Caenorhabditis elegans: one gene and its partner. The protein of the gene in region 1 interacts with the protein of each later gene in a pairwise test. Each region holds a gene or a part of one and is shown on either strand. Other genes may lie near its edges. The genes, in order: F01G4.6 and Y17G9B.5.

Region 1 (4,342 bases):
GCTTAATAGAATAAGAAGTCCAGGATCAACAGAATTTAGGTCTTCTGGTGTACAGTACTCTCTGAATGATTTGAAAGATCGCATGAATAATTTATCATTGATCCCGTTTTCTTTGGCAAGTTGGCGTACCATTGGACGGCGCATAAATTCATCAAGGGACATGTGAATGTTTGTCTGAAAGTTGAAAAATGAGCTTTGGAAGATGCTGGAGTTGGCATTTTTGATGAGATCGAATAAGTTCTTACATTATCTAGTGATCCAATCCATTCTCCCATTCCCGCAGCTGTTTGTGTTACATGTTTAACTTTTCGAGGTTCGACAATATCCTCAATAGTCGCAGTTTTTCTCACAGAATTCCTTTTTCTTCTAGAATTCATTGCTGGAAATCTGGAGGAGGATGGGGTTGAGCTGGTTGAACATCTTTGAGTTAGGCCTCCCAGAACTCGTAAAACACCAGACGCCCTTCTCATCTGTAATATTTGATAGAAGTATGCACACGCTGAAATAGAAATAGAAATAACGGAAATCCAGAAATTGTTTTGAAAACGTTTATACGTACGCCAGAAGAGATTCATTCGAAAAAATGATGCAAACGTAAACAATAAAGCAATTTTACACACAAAATAGAAATTATTCCCGAGGGTTCAGCGTCTACTTTGAATCAGCTCGCGAAGATTCGTTTCAGCCTCCACCAATCCTTTCTCCAAATAGTCTTTCTGCTTCTCGATAGCTTCAATTTTCTCTCTGAAAATGGGATTGGTTGTGTAAACTGTTTTGAATGGAAGAATGAAATTACTTTGACTGTTTAGCTTCAGCTTCATGTCTGGAAATTTCAGCTGGTTTGTCGGTCAGCAGGAACATACGCCCAACAGATCGATAGTACTTGAGGTTTTCATCCAAATCCACCAAGTTCTTTTTTGTGCTCTCTGAGATCCTCATTTTCTGAAAAATTTAGTTATTAGAAGCGTTACTTAAGAGAAAAAGTTATACTTTTATGTTTTTAAATATTAAAAATGCTGAGTGTTTTTTAATGGATGTGTGTAATGAAAAAATACCGATGTACAGCAAAAACTTTTTTGGCAAAGCTAGATTGTAGTTGTGACTAGCTGTGACTATTTGTGACTTAGGCACAAGCTAAGAGGTGAAACTCGCTAGTTTCTATGTTATCAAGTTATGATGTCATACATTTCTCATAATATTTAAAGTATATCAAATTTCAATATTTAATATTCAAAAATACTCACCTGATAGTTAACTTTCTTATTTTGTTCTCCTTGAACTATCCGCATTCGTGTTTCATTGGTTTTGAATTGCAAGTCGCGAAACGCTTTTGAGATCTCCTCGTCGGCCATTTCTGAAGTTGTAATATGAAAGTTGATTTAATAATTGAGACAAAAAAGAGTTGCGTTAAAAGAAATCACGAGAAAAGCAAAGAAAACAAATTGATTATCTTTGAAAAGTTGATTTGGAATAAACTTTTGAGAGATGGATTATTTATCCACAAATTTTAATTATTTTATGATTTATATATGTTAAAAAATGAGATACACCTTTTAAATGATAAAATAATAATGCTAGAAAACAGAATTTTAGATGTTGTAGTCATATTTTAAAATAAAAATGGAAAAATCGAGTAGAAATGTTTGCTGGCGCATTGCCAGAATCGAGTTAGATGTGCAGGTCATATAGCAAAGTGACGGGAGACGACTACGGTAGGGGCCGACCATGGCTCAGAGAACGTCCATGATATCTTTTGAGGCGGTTTGCAGGCCCGCCAGTGATAAATTATCAGTTATTCTACGAATTTCTTGAATTTTGAGTTTTATTGTAGATTTTTGAAGCATTATATTGCAAAATCATCTGTGATATTTTTGTTAGTGTCTCTTTTACATTTTTATACTTCCCGCATACTAATTTTTCGTGTGAATATAAATGTTTGGCAATAATTTCGGTAATTTCCAGGTAACCACCATGAGCGTGTTCAGCCAGCTTGCCGAATCATCGAAGCAGAACCCATTCAGCTTGCCGGTCAGGTCGGGTAACTGCGCCAGTGCTGTTTCAGCTCGTAAGTATTAATTGAATTTAAAAAAAAAACTTAATATATTAGCTAGCATAATATTGTCAGTAAAATAGTAAATTCACGTCCTACTTAGATTACTTTCTAGAATTTAGTTTTTTATTAGGAGGGGTAATGACAATCCGAATTTTTCTTTACCTGCATTCTCTGTTCCCACTTCCCGTGCAGCGCATGTGCACACGTAAATTGACGAGGGCTGCGAGAGGCACGGCGGAGATAGTATCTCGCGAAAAGAGAATCGAGACAGACTATTCCCTCGTTTTGCAAAACGTGGCAACCGCGTTTTAAAAAGACATAGAATCGAATATCTGTCTGCCGTTCGACGTCGTTCACACGTAAATTTCACGTGGATCATTTACTATCTTCCACGTTATTTCTATGCTACCACATGCCTAGGCGGGATTATAAGCATTGTTATAATCGCTTATCAATGACGTCCGAAACGGAAGAGAAGGCTATGCCATTCATAGCTCGAGCCAAATCTCCTCATCTCCAAACTGGAAGGGCTGGCATTATAGTGATATTATGCATGTGGATTATAATTTATTTTTGGGGTGTTACCCAACTAGTTGACGGGTTAATGGACTGGCTGGCGTACGGGTCCACTCAATATGTTGCACGGGTCGCGGTTGGTGTTGTCACCACTGTAGCTTCTTCATATGAAGGTTTATCGCTCGAACTATACAATTTAATGTTTTTTTGTTACAGCTGGACAAGTTGAATTCGGAAGTGGCAAGTACTACGCTTACTGTGCTCTCGGAGGAGTTCTTTCTTGTGGAATCACCCACACTGCCATCGTACCACTTGATCTTGTCAAGTGCAGAATTCAGGTATTACGAGAAAAATCTATTCAACTTAATTGTTTTCTTTTAGGTGAATCCAGAGAAGTACACCGGTATTGCTACTGGTTTCCGGACCACCATCGCCGAGGAAGGAGCTCGTGCTCTTGTAAAGGGATGGGCCCCAACCCTCCTTGGATACTCCGCACAAGGACTTGGAAAATTCGGATTCTACGAGATCTTCAAGAACGTCTACGCTGACATGCTCGGAGAAGAGAACGCATATCTCTACAGAACCTCTCTTTACCTCGCTGCTTCCGCCTCAGCTGAGTTCTTCGCTGATATCCTTCTCGCCCCAATGGAAGCCACCAAGGTCCGTATCCAAACCTCACCAGGAGCTCCACCAACTCTTCGTGGATGTGCACCAATGATCTACAAGGCCGAAGGACTCACCGGATTTTACAAGGGACTTCCACCACTCTGGATGAGACAGATTCCATACACCATGATGAAGTTCGCTTGCTTCGAGAAGACCGTTGAGGCCCTTTACCAATACGTTGTTCCAAAGCCAAGAGCAGAGTGCTCCAAGGCTGAACAACTTGTCGTCACGTTTGTTGCTGGATATATCGCCGGAGTTTTCTGCGCCATCGTATCTCACCCAGCCGACACTGTTGTTTCCAAGCTTAACCAAGACTCTCAAGCCACCGCCGGAGGAATCCTCAAGAAACTTGGTTTCGCCGGAGTCTGGAAGGGACTTGTGCCACGTATTATCATGATCGGAACCCTCACAGCTCTTCAATGGTTCATCTATGATTCTGTTAAAGTGAGTTTATATCGGTATTATTTTTCTTAATTAATAAAAAAAATTCAGGTCGCCCTCAACCTTCCACGCCCACCACCACCAGAGATGCCAGCTTCCCTCAAGGCCAAGCTTGCCGCTCAACAATAATTGCACTGACTAGATAATGATTTTGATTTCCTTCCTTAATCGATTGTTCTAGCCATTGTATTAATTTGAAATCCACCCAATTTGTCTCTTTTCTCTCGGTCCTACTCTCACTCTTAATTTTTTATAACTAATTAGTGCACCATGCTCGGTTTTAGTGTGATTATCATTTCCTTCATTTGTTTCAAGTTGTCCTTCAATCCCGATGTCTTCTTTTTTGAAAGATGAGTTCTCTGGCAGTGTTTTTATAAATCTCCTCCGAACAAAACCGATCGAAGAATATTGTATACGTTGGTGTTAATTTGTGTGTGTTCTCAAGAAAAGACCTCAATTGGGTAGTTCAATTAATACAGTCCACCCTCGCTCGTTTTACCGTTGAATTCCAATAAAAAAAATTGATAATAACGTGATTTTCAGAATTTATGGATAAAATTACTAAAAACGTGGTTTTAATCAGGACATTAGAAGCAAAAATTCTTCTCGTCCGGTTTGTTTCCTGAGATATTAATATTTTATACGGAAACTTAGTTTCTAGAACAT
Region 2 (3,651 bases), 6.4 Mb from region 1:
GACGTGGCACTGCAAGCATCTCTGCTTGTACACCTTCTTTCCCTTTTCGTAATCTCCAGCTGGGATATCGGACATGTTGAACCCTTAAAATACAGAAATTAGTGAAATATATACTAAAAGAGTCTAGCAGGAAGAAACCGCCACAGCAGCACTTGGGGAACCGCCCGTGATGCAATAGCGAGAAAGAAACGGGGGTTGTGCCATCTCTCGGGCGGCGAGGAGACGCAGAGACACAGAAAGGCCATAGAACAATCGGGCGGTCGCTCTCGGGAGTCTGGGTGAAATATCATTCAGCGAGGACATACTAAAATGACGCTGTTGAACTTTTTATCTATGATCTGAAAGGTTTTGCCCTTAAAATACAAAAAATAAAGTTTCTACGAGATTTACCGCATTTCTAACGCTTACAACTTACAAAATCTACAGTTATCCAGATTTTTATCAACTTATCTCAATTATTAAGAATTAATTTACCTTATCGAAATAGTGATATTGAACTTTAAGGAATGTAGTTACAGATCTAGTAGCGTAAGAACTGAATATAGAAGAGCAGATATCTATATTGCAAAAGAACAAATTTGAAAATATTGACAAAATTTACCAGTCACACAAGTCAGCTGGGCGGTCCGATGCCTTATGGATCATTGCAATGATCATCTAATAACATCAACAAGTGCTGCGCACGAGATAAAAACAGTAAACAAATAACAAGCTGAACAAACAGGATTCAAACCACACAAATTTAAAATGAAAAATTAAGAAAAAAATTTGTTTGCAACAATTTATTGTAACAAATAACAATAATCCGCAACTTAGGCGAAGTGGGTGTTTTGGCGAGCGGTTGTGAAGACGCTGAGGTTCTTTCTCTTGGTGACGCGATGTGGGAGTGGGAATCTGATCTTGGCGTCGTGGAACATCTTGATTCCGGCACGCTTGGTGTCTTCGGCCTTGACGGTTTGGACCTTGAGGATGTGGATGCGGTCAGCTTGGGCACGATGACGAGCTCCCATGTCACGGTAGCACTGGGTGACGGCTCCGGCAACGGTGGTGTCACGGTACTCACGGTACATGTTGTGGTGTCCGGTACGGGAATCGTACTTGAGCCAGACTCCGTAGTTCTTGACGGTTCCTGGGTTCTTCTCGAACACCTGAAAATTTTATTGTAAAATGGGTTATTATTATTATTTTCCACAAACCTGCTTGATCGAAAGGATCTCTCCGTTGGCCTTCTTCACACGACGGAGCATAGAGACGAAGTACCAGAAACGAGACTTGGCGATGACGTGGTTGGTGGCGAAGATTTGCATCTTCCAGATTGGAGTCACTGGCTCCTTCTCTGTTGGGATTTTGCGTCCGACGACGACGTACTCATTAAGAGTCTCTCCAAGAGCCTTGGTTGGCATGTTTTAACCCTGAAAAACAAAAATATGATGCAAGGAATGGGGAATGAACAATCTGATATAATAGCGAAAAACAATTTTAGGATAACGTTACAATTTTCTTTTAAAATGGAAAGGTAGATGGGAATTACCGAAAAAATATGAGTGCATATTGCAATATTTAAAAACTATGAAAAAACTGTTAAATTTTTGTAAAAATCAGAAAAAGAAAAGCGGAAAAAAGCTAAAAAATAGGATCAGGAAAACCCAAAATGAATTTCAACGCACAAAAGTGTATGCGGCAGTGCTAGTTTTGTTGCGTGTTCTATTACCGTATCCTTCATACACTCGCCGTCGATTTACGGGGAGCGGTGGAGCGCACTTACTCCTTAGATTTTTAAGCAATTTTTTTGTTAAAAAGATATAGAAATGTGATTTTAAATGTTTTATTTTAACTATAAAGTTATAATATTAATTTATTTGTACATATTCAGACTTTAATGGCTCTTGCACATGTTTCACGACGGGTTATCAGCAATCAAATACGATGCTTTGCTGCAGCGAATCAAGAGACGAGTTTAGTACATGTTGAAAAGCAATTCGAAGCTATAGAACCGGAGAAAAGAGATAAAGATGCATTCATGGCAGCGATAGGTTTGGATATCTGTCTAGTTTCAACGATTAATCTATGTTTTCAGCCACGTTCAAGGAAAAACGAGGTCGAACGCATGTCGAATTTATCAACACAGCTCTAAAATATGTCAAAGAATATGGGGTTCATAAGGATATCGATACTTATAAAGGACTCCTTGAAGTTTTTCCAAAAGGAAAGATGATCCCACAAACTGTTTTCCAAAAAGTTTTCCTGCATTACCCTCAACAACAAAATTGTGCAGTGAAGGTTCTAGATGAAATGGAGTGGCATGGTAAGTACAAAGTCGTTTACTATTCATAAATTATCAAAAATAGTTGAGGTGTTCAACCGGATAAGGAGATCCATGATATCGTGGTCAACGCATTCGGAGAGTGGAATTTTGCAACGAAAAAGGTGAAGCGTATGCTCTATTGGATGCCAAAGCTGAAACATTCGAATAAATATCTGGACAGGCGCCACGTGGAAGGGAAGTCTCTATCACCCTCCGAGTTAGCCGGAATCGCGCTGAAAATGATGAGCCGAGACGCTGCGTCCTCTATTTCGCTTCTAAAACTGTCAGATTCATCAGATCCACAACAAAAATGGCTAGCCACGTCACAGAGCCCAATGCAACAGATATTAATTTCTGAATTGCGAAAAGGTGATGAAGTCTTCGTGGATGCTGCAAAAGTCTATCTACAAGACAGAGTTATTCCATTTATCACATTAACTGGAAATACGAAGCTGGAACCTTTAAACGAGTTCAAAAACGAAGATATGGACGAAGATTATACAAATTGGTACGCGGACTGGCAGAAGCAAAGAGGAGAAGCTAAAAGGTAGGTTTACAGTTCAAATTTTAGATTTGATATAAAATTTTAATTTTCAGATCGATCCACGAACAAGACCACGAAACGATTTTCGCAATGGGTGCTATGTATAAAGATGATAATGCAACAGCGATTCGATGGATTGATAATCTACAAAAAACCAACCCAAATATGGAGAACCTGAGGTTCCGAGTTCGATTGGAAGGAAACCCGATAATTTCAAGAAAATAAAATGTATTGTGTTGACTAGAATTTGAGAAACAATAAATAATTAACAGTTTGTGCCGATTCTCTTAACAGCTGACCTTGTTCTGCGTGTTTTTTTTTTGCGCTCGCTAGTCCCAAATGTTGTGATAAGACAACATTCACTTTTTTGGATTATTATGGATTATTGAGGATTGGCAGTACAGAACTAACTGCAACTCTGGGAGCGCCGAGGTCTGTCTAAAATGCCAAAATAAAAAATATATCCGGCGATAGATTTGTCTGTAATCCGAGATTCGAAATTGTTTTGTTTTGTGGTTCTATCAGAAGAACATGTTGCATGAAATTGTGATATCTTAAACTACAAGAAACAGGAAAATGTTAAACGCGGTTTTATAAAATAACAATACTGAAGCACTCATGAATAAAACCAATTTTTATCTAATTTTACGCATGAATACAGCGATTTTGTATTTTACTACGTTTTTTTTTACTACGAATTGCTATTGCATTTTTTTACTACGAATTGCTATTGCATTGAGAATATGAAAATAAGATAAAATAAATAGTGATTTATTTTGGGACGGTCTCTTTAAAGGCGCAA

What was found.
Region 2: the proteins of F01G4.6 (region 1) and Y17G9B.5 interact in a two-hybrid assay, tested with the Caenorhabditis elegans proteins (one large-scale study listed by BioGRID).

The regions. Positions count from the first base shown.
Region 1 is NC_003282.8:11,147,125-11,151,466, reverse strand, and holds F01G4.6 (Phosphate carrier protein, mitochondrial), read left to right. Parts: upstream 1-2,265; 5' UTR 2,266-2,507; coding exon 2,508-2,742; intron 2,743-2,785; coding exon 2,786-2,907; intron 2,908-2,950; coding exon 2,951-3,679; intron 3,680-3,727; coding exon 3,728-3,805; downstream 3,806-4,342. Other genes in the region: C08F8.2 (ATP-dependent RNA helicase SUV3 homolog, mitochondrial), read right to left, coding at 1-174, 246-470; pfd-1 (putative prefoldin subunit 1), read right to left, coding at 645-744, 797-942, 1,245-1,352; pigq-1 (PMT_2 domain-containing protein), read left to right, coding at 4,225-4,289, 4,338-4,342. UniProt on the Caenorhabditis elegans protein: Transport of phosphate groups from the cytosol to the mitochondrial matrix.
Region 2 is NC_003282.8:4,748,367-4,752,017, forward strand, and holds Y17G9B.5 (Evolutionarily conserved signaling intermediate in Toll pathway, mitochondrial), read left to right. Parts: upstream 1-1,873; 5' UTR 1,874-1,879; coding exon 1,880-2,033; intron 2,034-2,077; coding exon 2,078-2,305; intron 2,306-2,353; coding exon 2,354-2,852; intron 2,853-2,902; coding exon 2,903-3,074; 3' UTR 3,075-3,125; downstream 3,126-3,651. Other genes in the region: cyc-2.1 (Cytochrome c 2.1), read right to left, coding at 1-75; rpl-18A (Large ribosomal subunit protein eL20), read right to left, coding at 813-1,148, 1,197-1,403.